2 linked regions of the Styela clava genome follow. The protein of the gene in region 2 interacts with the protein of the main gene of each other region in a pairwise test. Links are inferred from orthologs where the notes say so. Each region holds a gene or a part of one and is shown on either strand. Other genes may lie near its edges.

Region 1 (6,729 bases), on a different chromosome or scaffold from region 2:
CCAAGTGAAGGGAAAAGCTAAGACGAACCAATCACATTGCCTCTCAGGTATGAACACAGCTAACTCATTCTAAGCTCACAAATACTGATGGTGGCAAAAGCCATAATCGATTACCAGTCAGATCAATAACAATACTGCAGCAAAGATTGTACATATCTCACATGTTAATCCCAGGATTCGAATCCATACAAAATAATGGGCATAGGTGATAAGTCTTAACACTTGGGACAATGACCCTTTTGAATTACAACAAATCGGGCTTCAACTCTCCAACAAACAATGATCATCAATCCACATGCTGTGAGAAGAATGATCACCACTCCTTTAATGACTGCAGATCAATATGCAACCCAAGTTTCTAGCCATACATTAAAATTAATTACCCAGAAGAAATATTATTACTGTTGACTGACCACTAATTGGCAATATTACAATTTTTACGGTGTGCCAAATAAACTTCGTATCACGCCAAATCATTGAAGCTCCCTCATTTAATGATATATCGAATAAAAAAACTCGGATTCGCAATATTACAAATTTATTTTTTATTTTTTGCCAAAAATGGAACACCAAGGCAAAAGAACAAAACTGTATGAAACTGAATTAAGTATTGTTTGATTACTATTATCTATCCGGGTATTGGATTTCAATTGGATGTATTTGAAAGGTTTCATGCATGAACATTTTTCAAACAATTTCTGGGGTACTATCAGCTGTATTTCCAGGTAGTGCAGTTGGGGACAGGACAACTGCATCGAATAACTATTTTTTATAGTAGGAATCTATGCTCGGCCTTGAGGTAATTGAGTGTGTGCTTTTGTTCTATTCATAGCCAATATCAAAAAGATTGGACAATTTTATTCAGTTATTTGATTGGTATATATATATTCATGCACTATATCAGTTGAATATTGGTGTTTGAGCGATACAAAAATTACAATTACAAAAATTTAACAATTTATTCAATCATTACCAACCAGTAATTTGATTTTTTTTTTCACCTTCATAACAATCCAAAATATTTGACAAATTTATGTTGCAAAATTACTGATATATAAAAATAATCTCTTGTGTGAGACAATCAGCATACAAAATACCTAATTGATCATACATAACATATAAATGCGAATATGAAACATTTTTCAAATGGCAAATTAAGTTTACTGACAGTTCCAATAAGCCACACCAAAAATCGAAAACTGTCCCTCTGGCATAGATGTGATATTTCCTAGGATAAGTCCTGATCCTGATGATTCGCTTGGTGTCATGGCCAACTTTATCTACCCAGGCTGAAAACAAATAAAACTCCGAAAGAAACAAATGTTCAATACAAATTAATTTTTACATGAATTTCAGTCACCGTTATTTTCCATAGTTTCAAAAAGTAAATTGGCAGCCAGGGTTTCATTTTTATCACACGCCATATAAAATTGTAGAGCGTCTTCTTCTGGAAATCCGAGCGCTTTTAACCTATCCACTGCCGCTTTATCTTCTGACGAAATCTGAATGTATTGGGTGCCTGGTGGAGGGCCAGTCCCCCCAGCTCCCCCCCCTTCCGCAGGCTGCTCAGTGCTCCCAGCAGCCTGACCTTCTGTGCTATTGATGAGCTGAATAAAAGCAGCTTGATTACGACTAATCTGCTCCAATAATTGTGGATTTGAATTTCGCAATTCCTGCATAAAAATTTGCAGATATGAAGGATTTTCTCTCAAAGCTTGACACATTCTCTGAAACTCTGGTTGATTACGTAAAAATTCGAAAGGATCTTCAGAACTTGCTGGTGGGTTGGTTGCCGCAGGAGTTTCTTCGGAACCCGCAGCTGCAACTGCCGTTTCTCCACCCGCAGCAGGTTGTGGCGTCTGAAGATTTGAAGGAATTCCTGTTGTCAAATATTCTACAGCCCTGTCAGGATTATTGAAACTTGCCCGAAGAGCAGCTACCACATCATCTCTTGCAAATCCCATGCTGACAATGTTAGTGATATTCTGTTCATAGGCATCACCAGTTAAAAGGGCAGATGCTGCAGCTGATGCTATCTCAGATCCAGTTGCAGCAGCACTCGAAGTTGCGGGTGTGGTAGATGAACTTGTATCCATTTGTTCTGGAGGTTTTTCATCCTCTTTTGGTTTTGTATCTTCTGTTGTGCTAGGCTGCTCAGGAGTAGTTGTTGGGGCATCGGCCGCTTGTGTGGTAGTTGCGGACTGAGCTGGAGCGGAACATGTCGTTTGAGCTGGTTTGGGTTTAGAAACCATAGCAACAATGAAATTTTTTTCAACGATATTATATTCTGCCAAGGTTTTTTCATCATCTAACATTTTACCAGCATAAATTAACTTCTGTCCGTCGATAGGATACGCCTCCTTTCCTTTCTCATTTTCAATCTTCTCTTTCAAAGTTTTGACTGTTTGCTTCTCATCAATCTCAATGGTAAAAGTCTGCTGATGCAAAGTTTTTATTGTAACTATCATTTTTTTATATACTTTTCACTATTTAGGTCTGAAAAATAAAATAATTATCGAAAATAAAAAAAATATCATGCAATTTCAGAATTTAGTAAGTTCTCTTAACAAGCAGAAATTTTTCAGATCATCTCGTTAGCCAGTGATTCTCAAAGGGGCAATTGACAGAATCATATTAAACAATATGATTTAATATTTTATATATTGTATTTATTATAAATGTTTTATTGTTTTTTATTTTAAATTCTGTGTCCTATCGTTACGTAACAATAGAGGCAGACACTATTTGCTGCAGAAGAGTTAACATTGCCTTTATTCGTTAGGGTGACATGTTTTCAAACTTTCAAAAGCATAAAGTACACATTATGAAACAAAATTCACTTATATTTAAAGGAAGATATTTTTTTTCGTGTAAGTGCGTTGTGAGATTTGCCCTGATAATTTGGTGCCGCATGAACAAAAAATTTGGGAACTGTTGTTGTAGGTTATGTGTCTAACATACTTGGATTCAATTAAAACTGAACTGATGTACACAAAGATAGCATTTAACATATATTAAGAATATTCGGGTCTCGTGTGGTTTCGTACCTAACATACTTCTAATGGGCCTAGCATAACAATTTTTTGATATGTCAATCCTAACCCCATCTGACTACGCCATCCAAAAATTACGTCACTACGACATCACAATCACGTCATAGAGCTTGCCAAATATATGTACGATCGCCCGAAATGGCATCGGCGCCGACGATAAAGAACTGACTAACGTCATCGATCTTTCTCCTATTGGGATCGTTGCTACGAGAAAAATAGCTGTTCGATTTCGGGTGCTCGTCTACGCGTCTTGGATGTCAGTTCGTATAGTTTGAAGGGCTCTATTACGTCACTGTGACGCCGTAATGGCGTTATTTTTGGATGATGTAGTCAGGCGGGGGTTAGGATTGACACATGAAAAAATTGTTATGCTACGCCTACTAGAAGTATGTTAGGTATAAAACTACATGAGACCCGAATATTCTATGTTGTGAAAACTAAAAACAATTCATATAAATAAGAAATTGCTAATTCAAAACATAAATATAAGATATTTCAAGTCAGCAAGTGGTCTATATCAATCTGACAGTGGTTCTCAACCTTTTATGGCTCGTGGCCCCCTGTTTATCATTTCAGAGGTAGTCATAGTGTTATTTTGATTGGTATTTGCAAATCCCATTATGTTCAAATAATCCATGCATAAGAACAAGCGGAAACACCCTTTTCAAGCAATAAACTACTAAAAACAAAAAGTTTTCTTTTATTAAAGTGAAAAATAAAATCAGTTTTGCGCCCAGCATTGTGGTCCCCCTCCAACTGCTCTGTGGGAACCGCTGTGATAGGAGCTAAAGCATGCAGTAAATAAAAATTGGATATAATACAGTAATATAAGTTACTTATCACTAATACATAATTTTATCCTAATGCTGTCAAAGCCTTAAAGTGCTGGCTCTGCAAAATAATGGCATACGGTGATCTTCTGCCACTGACCAAACCACCAGCTGAAGAGCAGTGAACTATTTATTACAGTACGGTATTCAGGCTTTACAGTATTCTCACATGCTATTATGCGTACCCGTACCGGTACTGGTTTGTCTGTTTGTGTATAAATAAAAACTGGATTTACATTGAACTAGAGTCTAGACATTGAATCGCAGACAGATGTTACATTCCTCTAGTCTATTTTTATCTTAGTATTCTCTGTTTAGTGTAAGAGAGGAGATTTATTAGCACAAAAACAAAGTCAACGCTGCCGTATTACTTATAACTTTTCAGACTTTTATTCATAATTAGAAATAGCGTCAAACGCAATTTTTTTTTTCTCCTCTACAGTCAGCAAAATATGCTAATACGTGTCCAACTACAGAATTATTTTTTGTTTTATTTTGTTTAAACACAATTTCAGTCCTTTCAACAAACGCGATACACCTGACGTTTATAACTCATTACCGGTACTCCGCAGATTCACATTTCGAGTGCAACAGCGCCCCAACGCATTGGAAATGGCACATGATATCACGGTCATGATTTATGCATTTTCACGTTAGTGGACATAACGATCGTTTTGCCTTAGTATGTTTATCTTATTGGACACTTTAGTGGACATAACGATCGTTTTGCATTTTATGCTGGCATTCTTCTTATTGTTATCTTTCTTCGTCACCATCATTATAAAATCGCTTTTCTCTTCGAATACTGGACTAATTGCTTTGAAATTTTCAGTGGTTAAAGTTTGATTTTTTCTACAGAAATCCATTACTTTTATTTATTTCAAATATTTCTGTTAGCTCTGTGAGATTTGTTTTTGTTTGCTATGACGTCACCGAACCTTCTGCGGACGCATGATCACGTGCCATCGAACGTGAAACGGCGTGAAGGCGGATTCTAAAAATCGTTGCTCAAAAATGGTAAGTTTTTTTAGGTTACCGGTGATGCTAAAGGTACAGTAAACCCAAAGTGACTATAAACCAAGTGGGGGACATGCATTGGTAACGTTATAAGCGCTCGTGTGACGTCACACCAGCTATTTTGTGTCCAGAGTTCTACCGCCGTATGATCCTAACTAAGTGATTTAATAAACCTGCGATCGTTAAACAGCTGATTAAAAAAAAAACGATGCTCAATAATTCGGACCAAACTTTCGCAGGGGCAAAACGAATGAACATTTTTCTGAAAAATTAATTATCCGCAGATGTTTCTCGGATAACTCGGCTCGGCGGTATGGTCAGCATATACGAAGTGAAGGTTAAAGGTATCCAACTTCACTCGATAAATCAACTACACAAATAAGACCAAAATATTTAACCAAAAGATACACATTTTATTATTAATTTATTATAAAATTCCTGATGTAAGTATCGCTACTTGCGCAAAACCTATTTTAACAAACTGACAGAACTACAATACAAATTATACTACAGAAATTTGCACTATTTTTGCGGTCGGCTATGTCATGATATTAAAATATGCGTATCGCAAATTTTCAACAAAGTGTACATTGCTAAAATAATATTAAAAAAATATACTACATGCATGGAATGAAGGATAACGGAGTATATCAAGAACATCTAATAATCTGCAGTGTATAAAATAAGATATCATCTATTTGACTTGAGCTTTTGCCGCAGGTCTACTAGCTTACCGTTTTTCAATAATTTTTTTTGTCTCCTTTTTTGCGTGAATATTTAACTTTAAATTGAGAAAATGTTTCAAAATTTTGAAAGCGATATTGTGGCAAGATAGGAAATTATATTTCAAGCAACTTTATCTGTCAGAAAAGTATCAGGCGAACATATATTATGAAAGGCATTAATATTTGCGCGAAATATAGTTTATACTTCGCGCAAAAATACGATTGCGTTTTTGGATGGGTGGCATAAATATTGTGTGAAACTATCAATTTTCAAATATTTATCAGATGTGTAAGACCTAAAAAAAGTTAGTAGCGATTGTGGGCATTCATCAGGATTGACACTTTCCATAGAAACAAACAATTTGAACCCCGTGTCTTTTTAGGGTTCCCCCGGAAACATCAAGGCCAATTTTTCACTGTTGGATATCGATAAAATTACAATTAAGTTTTATCAACGAGAACGTAGAAGACATGATGATGTCGCTAGATCACCTAGTAAATATTTTACATTTTCCGACGCAAAAGCATCGAAATATCCTGCCAATAATAAGTTGATGAGAGCTGCAACACCAATCACGGCGGCTGGTTTTTAAATTTTGTACCTTATAATGTATATGCTTCGATGAAATTCATTAGGCCACACAATGTGCTAGCCATGAGATCGTTTACATCAGGGTAGTCCAAACCCAGGCCCGCGGGCCACATGTGCCGCTTCATTATCTGTTGCCCGCGTCACATTCGGAGAGTAATCGAAAAATCGCATTTGGTGTTGTTTTGTCATAAAATTAATCAGAAAAACCTTTTAACACATTTTCATCACTAATGTCACTGAATTAAATAGCGTTATGACCAGCTGGGGAAACTAGCGAAGTTTAGTGATGTGCTTGGCAGTCTAAATTGTTATCTGGCTTTCTAACTTTTTGGTCGGGAATATATGCTAACAATATAGGCATCATAGAAAACTAAAAATCGAATGCGGATTCAATTAGCCTAGATTGGCTATGCCTGATAACTATGTGTTTGCACAATAAAATTGTTTGTTTTGTATTGCCCTGTTTACCTATTCTTGGCACTATTGTGGCCCGCGGAGCCGACAACCTTGGA
Region 2 (7,644 bases):
AAGCGCATGACTTCACCAGTAGTATCAGCGATGCCGTATAAATATTCCAACACTGGTATTGGAATGACTAAAGGTTCTTTATTTTCATCATCTGCAAAAACCAAAGATTTTTGTATCTCACTGAGATCAAGTAAACAGTTGGAAATGCTTTGTATACTGTAGTTTTCTTCAGTTTTGAAATAGTACAAAAAAGACATTGCTTCAATAAATTCCTGCAGGCCTGGGGAGAATGCTCTAATGTACGCATGCGAATCCTCATCCTGCAGTTCAGTAGCAATTTGTTTCCACTTCTTCATAATAATATCACATTTTTCATCAGCCTCAGTAATTATTTTGAACTTTGAGTTTGTTTCTGGAGATGTAATATCAATTCGGTGTAACAGAAAAATCAATTTTTTGCTGTCAATCGTTATGTCACGGCTTAGTTTCACAATTTTTTCCCATTTGTTGTGTTTTGTTTCCAATTCTTGTTGAAATAATTGAAACTGATCGATAACATCCATCAGAGATAATAAATGTTACCACTAATTATAGGTTACAGAAACAAAACGAAAATAAGTAAACACTACATTTATCTTGCCTTCATTGCATTTGAAAGCTGTTTATTTAACTCAAATAGCTACCTATGTATGTCAAGTTGGAAAAAGAATGTTTTTGAACAATGTAGACAGAACACACTCTCAGCATAATCACCCAAAAAGAAACACTTGGAGCAACTTCAACTTTCAAGGGCTGCATGAAATCATATTGAAAATTAACAGCAATATCCCAAGTAGATGAATTGACAGTCTAAAACTGATAATTTAATTACTGCTTCAATTCAGATATTTTGTTTGAGGCATATTTTCTTCATGAATTATAACTTTATTAAAGCTCAATGGACCTTAGTATGTAATATAAGCATCTAGATAACAAATATTCGTTTGCTGCTACTTTTGATAGAAGACCTAATTTTTAAAAGGATGAATACACATACCATTCATTCTATAAAATCAGAAAATTTGTGAATTCTGTAACGAAATACTTTATTACTCTCAAATTTTTTCACAAAAATCCAATGTTGAACTCAAATATTAACATGGACAATAGTATGTCATAGAAGCATTTAGAATAAGAATTGCATTCTGCCAGTATAGGTTTGTAAAATACCTAAAGCTTACAAGGATGAATAATCACAACATTCAACAATTAAGTGAAGATGTTCTTTGCCAAAGTAAGTGTCTTCAATATCTCTTTATAACAGGTAGTGTTTAAATCTGTGGAGAAGTGGATAGTGCGAAATCACTTGATTGATAATAAAGAACTTCAGTCAGCCATTCTAATTTAAATTACAAGAACATACTGTGAATGTGGTATCATATTATAATGAAATAGTGGAGAGATATCTCACAATAATATTCGCCAGCCAGTATTTATTCTGAAATTTGGCAGAATGAAAAATTTTTTTATGTCCGTCATTAATATTCTCGAAACAGTTTTGTGTCAATAATTGCGTAGTCAGAATTCATTCATTGTCTTTTTTCTTGTCTTTATCAGAATCTTGTCTGTTTTGAGCAAGTTGATCCATGGCTTGTTGTATTGCTTCACTCGATGTGTCCACACCGGGAAGATTTTGTAGAACACTCTGCAGGAACGCTGGATCAGCAATTACATCTTCTTCATTCGAATCTCCATCATCACCATATTCAGCCACCATCGGGGACTCAGAAATTGTTTTCTCATCCGTGTCCATGGCAGATTGTGAGCTTTCTTCTTGCATTGACATGCGCATTGCATATGCTATTTGTTCTTCTTCCGACATAGAGCTTATATCAACAGGGCGACTACCAGGAGGTGCAGTGGCTGGTACCTCTTGATTCATTGACATTGCGAGAGCCGCACGTAACATGTCATCCTCACCAGTGCCTGTTGCCATTGCAGTTGCTGGAGCTGACTGAGTTTCTTGGATTTCTGATCCTGCTCGAGCTTCTTCTTCTTGACGATGACGCTGTTCTTCTAATGACACACGAAGAGCAAGAGCAAGCTCTGGATCCGATGCTGGGTCAAATCCAAGATCAAATTCACCACCGCCAGAGCTGGGAGCTCCACCTTCTCCAGCAATAATTGGGGAGTTCATTAAAGCATTAGAAAGCATGGATCCTGGAGGTATATTGACAATATTAGATCCTGTTCCATCTTTTCCATTCAGTATTTCGATAAACGAAGTCAGTTTTGGTGTGTTCAACTCTTCTTCGCCAAAGTTTACTATTTCCACATTTACTTTTTCTTTTTTAAGTTTTTTCGCAACTTTATTTATTTCTTTTTCATCGTCTTCAATTGGGCTTCCGACAAAGGCAATAATACGCATTCTATGGTTTTTACTTTGACGATGTTTCAATGCAAGATGTGCAACACGGATGCCATTTAAGAATCTAATATTCCCTTTAGGTTGCACTAAAAGTAATTTTGATAGCAACTTTCCTGAGTCATTTGTCAATGTAACATGAACTTGAACATCAGCAAGAGAGAGTAGCGCAACATTGTTTTCAGGGTTAGAACGTAATTTTGTACGGCATACCAAGTTCGCGGCATCTTGTTGGGCTTGGATTCTTGTTGGCAAATAATCCCCGTTTCTCATGTATTCACTGTTGTCGATACATATTACTGTGCTTTCGAGAACCATCTTGATATCTAGTCTACTTCAGCGCGATTTAACTTTCAGATACTGGACAAAAAAGATCGCAACTAGTTGATCCGCCGACTGTTAACTTACACCTATTACTGTATTACAGGATCACAATGGTTCAGTTGTAACACAGCATTATTTTTATTTCATGACACAGCGAATTTATTTTTCGGATCAGTGACCCCGACCTTTGGCCTCAAACTTATGTTCGGATTAGGGTTGGATTATCCGGATAGCGGTTAACCGGTTAACCAAGAGTTATTTTGCTATCTGATATCCGGATATTATTGTGACGGTTAACCGGATAATAGAGCAGTATAAATAATACATATGCGCGATTAGCGGTTTTTATATTTTTTGTTGAGTGGCGACTGACATCTCCCAGAGCATATAATAACAACTTTTTCCACTCTAATCTGCCTATATATATTTTAGCCATCCGTAGAATGCTGGAGTGAACTTCACTATTACATCACAAAACACGCAGAACAAATGTGATTATTGCGCTTATTAGGAGAGCTTATTCGCTTTATAAAGTTAGATTTGAACTGGAGGTACAGTTTAAGAAAGACTAACTTAAACGAATTCATTTGAAAAGTATTGGTTGGGTGGGTGTGAGTTTGTTGCTTTTATGTCGGGTGTGGCTTTTAGTAATTGTTGCGTGTATTGAAGGAACGCATTTTATCATGAAGTAAACCAGTTTGAATTTCGAGGACTTATTTCACAATACTTCCGATTCCATGTAATCTGTGTAGCATTTCAAAATTTTGGGTACACAACCAAATGTTATGTGCTTCCTTTTAACTTTGGTATATATGTTTTTTCAAATTTCCCTGTATCAATCGAATCAAAAGATATACCAGCTGAAAATAAATCTATTCTATCTAAGTCAGGTGTATGTTAAACTAATTGAACTTAAAAGCTTGAAGAAATGGTCATCGTGAGTCTGCGACACCAAAATTTAGTAGGAGTCAAAATTTAAAGAAAATATGCTATATGTCTAGACAGAAAAAAACTTCCAAAAAATTTAACAATAAAAAAAGGAATAATATAAATTTTTACATAGGATTTGAATATGAGAAAATAACTTAGCAGTCGAGAGGAAGACAATTAGGACACAGAATTTAAAACAATGTTTCACTATATTATTCAGCTGCACTTCTGTACGATTACAGAGCTTAAATTTTTATTTATTGACACATGCAACATCAAAATGCACAATCATTTTTATTCGAGAAAAATAATACATATGTACGTATTTACAATAGAACTGTGTGGTGGTTTTCAGTCAATTCGCCACAAAAATCTTGTAAAATCGGTTCTCTGAAATTAGCAGTAACTAACTATCCGGTTAACCGGATAGGTAAAATACCCGGATATATCCGTTATCCGGATAGTATAAATTATAGGTATCCGAACTAACCCTAGTTCGGATATTATTTTGAATTCCTTTTATTAATCTAATATCAGAAGCATGAAACTTGATAAAATCAAATAATCGCTCAAAATTATACATATGACACTTCTACTTTGTTCCGATTTGGCGTCACATTGGGTCCCGGGTATGAAGTTGCTCGTAGAGTTGAGACCCGCGATGAGCAAATATATGCTCATTGGGACCCAAGAAAACCCGATCCCGAAATCCCGGGATTTGAACTGTTTTTTTTTTTCAGTCCCGATCCCGCAAATATTTCCTAAAAATCCCGGGATTTTAGGGCTTTGTTACCCACGTATAGATATTCTCACAAATAGCAGATTATAGCCTACCAATGACATATAGAGGACTTGCACGGGTCACGTGACTTCGTTACTGGACGGCAATAAAAACAAAAACGTCCATTTGGCTTCTGTCAGTTGCAAGTCGGATTATACTTTTCCGTTTTGTTTGGCTGTTGAAAATGGTTATTTCGTATTGTTCTGTTGGCTGTACGTATAGTATAGACAACGAAATGGATCTTCAGTTATATTCCACCTGTTTTCAAAAGATCCGGAACGTCGTGCAATGTGGATATCATCTATTGGCAGGACTGCTTGGTGTTGGTGTCAAGTCCAGAAGTCATCTCGCTTGTATTTCACTGTTTGCGGACAGCACTTCGTTGATGGTGAGTGATAATGTGCCGTTATCAATTTTTTTAAATATCCATAAGCTCTCTCATTTCAATGGAAAGCAGATGACAGACTACTGTTATTGGTAGGCCTAGACCTACTTGCAGACTTGACTTGTGTAAGGAATTTAATCATCAATTGCCATAATGTATTGTTTCCCTAGTTACTAGTTAGCAGGTAATCTATTACTGAGAGTGAACGGTTGAGGTTGAATAGATAACTAAAGTTTAACACCAGTGGTCATGCAAAAAATAACCAGAATTCAATTGAATTCGCCATCTAGGAATACGCTCGCCACCGCATCTCTGATCACCCTGGTAGTTTCACAGGTTCCAATCCCATGAGGGGATAGTTATGTGCGAGAGAATTGCAGCTCTCCTCCTTGCAGTTCACACGACCGCTGATCGGTTACGACCATCCCCCACCATCCAAGTCCATGCTTCTGAGAACAAATAACTGACTAACTAATCCCAACATAGACTGGTAATCGTACGAGAGACTGTGATTCGTCATATGATTTAGTTGTTGCACCTGCAATCCTAAAGGTGCTTGTACAACTGTCCCAAAATGTCTTTTTATTGTCATTGGTAAAAAAAGATATGCTAGCCGGAATCAAATTCATTTACGACTAGTGTTTGTGGTGGGATATGGACATAAATTTCACACCACTTGATTGTTAAATTTTACGAAAACTCTACAAATATTACAAAGCTAGTGCAGGATCATGATATCAAATGAATCTGTATCCTTTATCTTACAGATATGGGTGTGACCATGGAATAGATGGATGGCAAAGTATAAGTTGCCACAGTGGCAAGACCACAGTGGCACAAGACCTCAGCATCCATTTATTGGTGCTTAACGTAATGACAAAGTAACTTGTGATTACTGTGGATTGGTGGAAATAAAGTGTCTATTGTGCTTGAACGAAAGCAACTTCAATACGACCCTATCAAGAAAATTTTTTTGTTTCGGTGGGGTTGGTAGTGAAGGTTTCAGTCTAAAGTTGGACACCGATACTACAACCAAATACAGTTGCCAATGAAACTTAGCGGGGCGTAATATTGCGACTTTGTGATCTGAAAGAAAATTCTGATGGGTAGCCGGCTAGCCATTAGCTGATTAAGGTTGAGTTATGTATGATCAGGGCAAAAATTTGGAAAACGTAAATCGAATCGAGAGAGTAAGCCAAATGAGAAAAGTTTAAATAAAAAGTATGAATGGAATCAAGAGAGTCGGGGAAGAAATGATTAATCTAGAATTAAGTTAGCTCAGGGGAAATTTAGAAAACGTAAATCGAATCGAGAGAGCAAGTCAAAAGAGAATGGTTTAAAAAGAAATGTGAAGGGAATCGAGAGAGAAATGTTTAAATGGGAACAAATATCCATCGTGTCGAGTAAAAGTCAGAAAAAACGCGTTTACGATAAATCAGTATGTCAGTCTCGCAGCGTCATGCTCGGGTGATCGCAATCACAATATGAAATTGTTGACTGGCAGGACGCTGCAGAAACTTAGCAACTGAAGGGGAATTCCCAGCAACCATAACAGGGGAAGCCGGGTTGGATTAAGTATCGGTACTGATACGGCAATATATAAATAAATAAATATATAAGTACAATTCAGACAGGAAAAACAGTTTTGATGGGAAAAGTTCATTCCACATGTACTTTGGGCAATGATGCAAACTCAGTGATAATGGTCGTGCTCTGTGAGGACAATAAAGAAAAATGGTGACAATGCCAATGGCATTAAGAGGTGAAAAAAGTCACGATCGTTTAGGTAAAATAGAGATCCTGGACCGAATGACCAGTTATAGAAAAATCGAGCCACACAAAAGGTGGGGGACATGGGTTGTATACGGTACACTACTATACTTATAAGGGATCTATACCACTTATTGAAGCAGACTAAAAGGATACATAGGAATCCAGGTAAAAAATTTTCAAAGCTTGTTTGAATGAATTGTAATTCATAATTCGAATGTTATCGGATAAAGCATTCCATAATTTAACGCCTGTATATTTTATCGAATTTTGAGTACGTTTGGTTGAAAAATGAGTTACATAATAGGAACTACTGGCAGAGGATCGTGTTCTATAAGAATGCACGCTGCTTTGTTTCAAGAAATAATCAGTGAATGTAACAGGGAGTTTTTTGTTGTGATGTTGGTGCATCAATTTCAATATCTCTAATTTATAAATATCCACCATTTTAATAATACGAAGTTTATAATAGATTGGATCAAGTTGGGCATAAGGTCCACTGCCAGACACAGCACGAATGGCCCTATTCTGCATTATTTCAATTTTGCGTAAAAGAGTTTTATCAGCGGAGCCCCATGCAGAAATACCGTATTGAATATGGGCTTGGAATAACGAGTGGTAAACCATACGTAAAGTCGAAATTGGTATAAAATGCCTGAGTTTGTACAGTATTCCCACCGACTTAGATAACTTAGCAGCCAAGTTAGTTATATGAATATCCCATTTCATTTGACTGTCTAAATATATGCCCAGATATTTATAAGAATTGACTTTTTCTAATGTAATGTTGTCAATACAGATTAATAAGTTATGATTGGCTTCATGTTTATTTGGTGAAATAAGCATAGACTTAGATTTATCGATATTTAATGTCAATTTGTTAGCCTTCATCCAATTAACCACTTTTACAATTTCAGAGTTCACTCGTGACTGTATAGCTGGTAGAGATTTGTCACTATCTAGAAGTATAGTGTCGTCAGCGAATAGTTTTGCGAAGAAAGAAGAACAGTGGGTGAGGTCATTTATATAGACGAGGAATAATAATGGACCCAACGTCGAACCCTGTGGGACCCCGTGAGTCACTGGTAAGACTGGGGAGCAGTGGGTTCC

What was found.
Region 1: the proteins of 26S proteasome non-ATPase regulatory subunit 4-like (region 2) and UV excision repair protein RAD23 homolog A-like interact in a two-hybrid assay, tested with the Caenorhabditis elegans proteins (3 studies listed by BioGRID). The link is inferred for Styela clava from reciprocal best matches to the Caenorhabditis elegans genes rpn-10 and rad-23.

What each region holds. Positions count from the first base shown.
Region 1 is NC_135251.1:21,488,692-21,495,420, forward strand, and holds UV excision repair protein RAD23 homolog A-like, read right to left. Parts: upstream 2,518-6,729; 5' UTR 2,469-2,517; coding exon 1,353-2,468; 3' UTR 522-1,352; downstream 1-521.
Region 2 is NC_135250.1:20,480,399-20,488,042, forward strand, and holds 26S proteasome non-ATPase regulatory subunit 4-like, read right to left. Parts: upstream 2,811-7,644; 5' UTR 2,663-2,810; coding exon 1,505-2,662; 3' UTR 525-1,504; downstream 1-524. Other genes in the region: translin-associated protein X-like, read right to left, coding at 1-503. UniProt on the Caenorhabditis elegans protein: Binds and presumably selects ubiquitin-conjugates for destruction. Required for protein degradation and ubiquitin-proteasome system (UBS) function and regulates proteasomal subunit expression. Involvement in UBS might be cell type specific.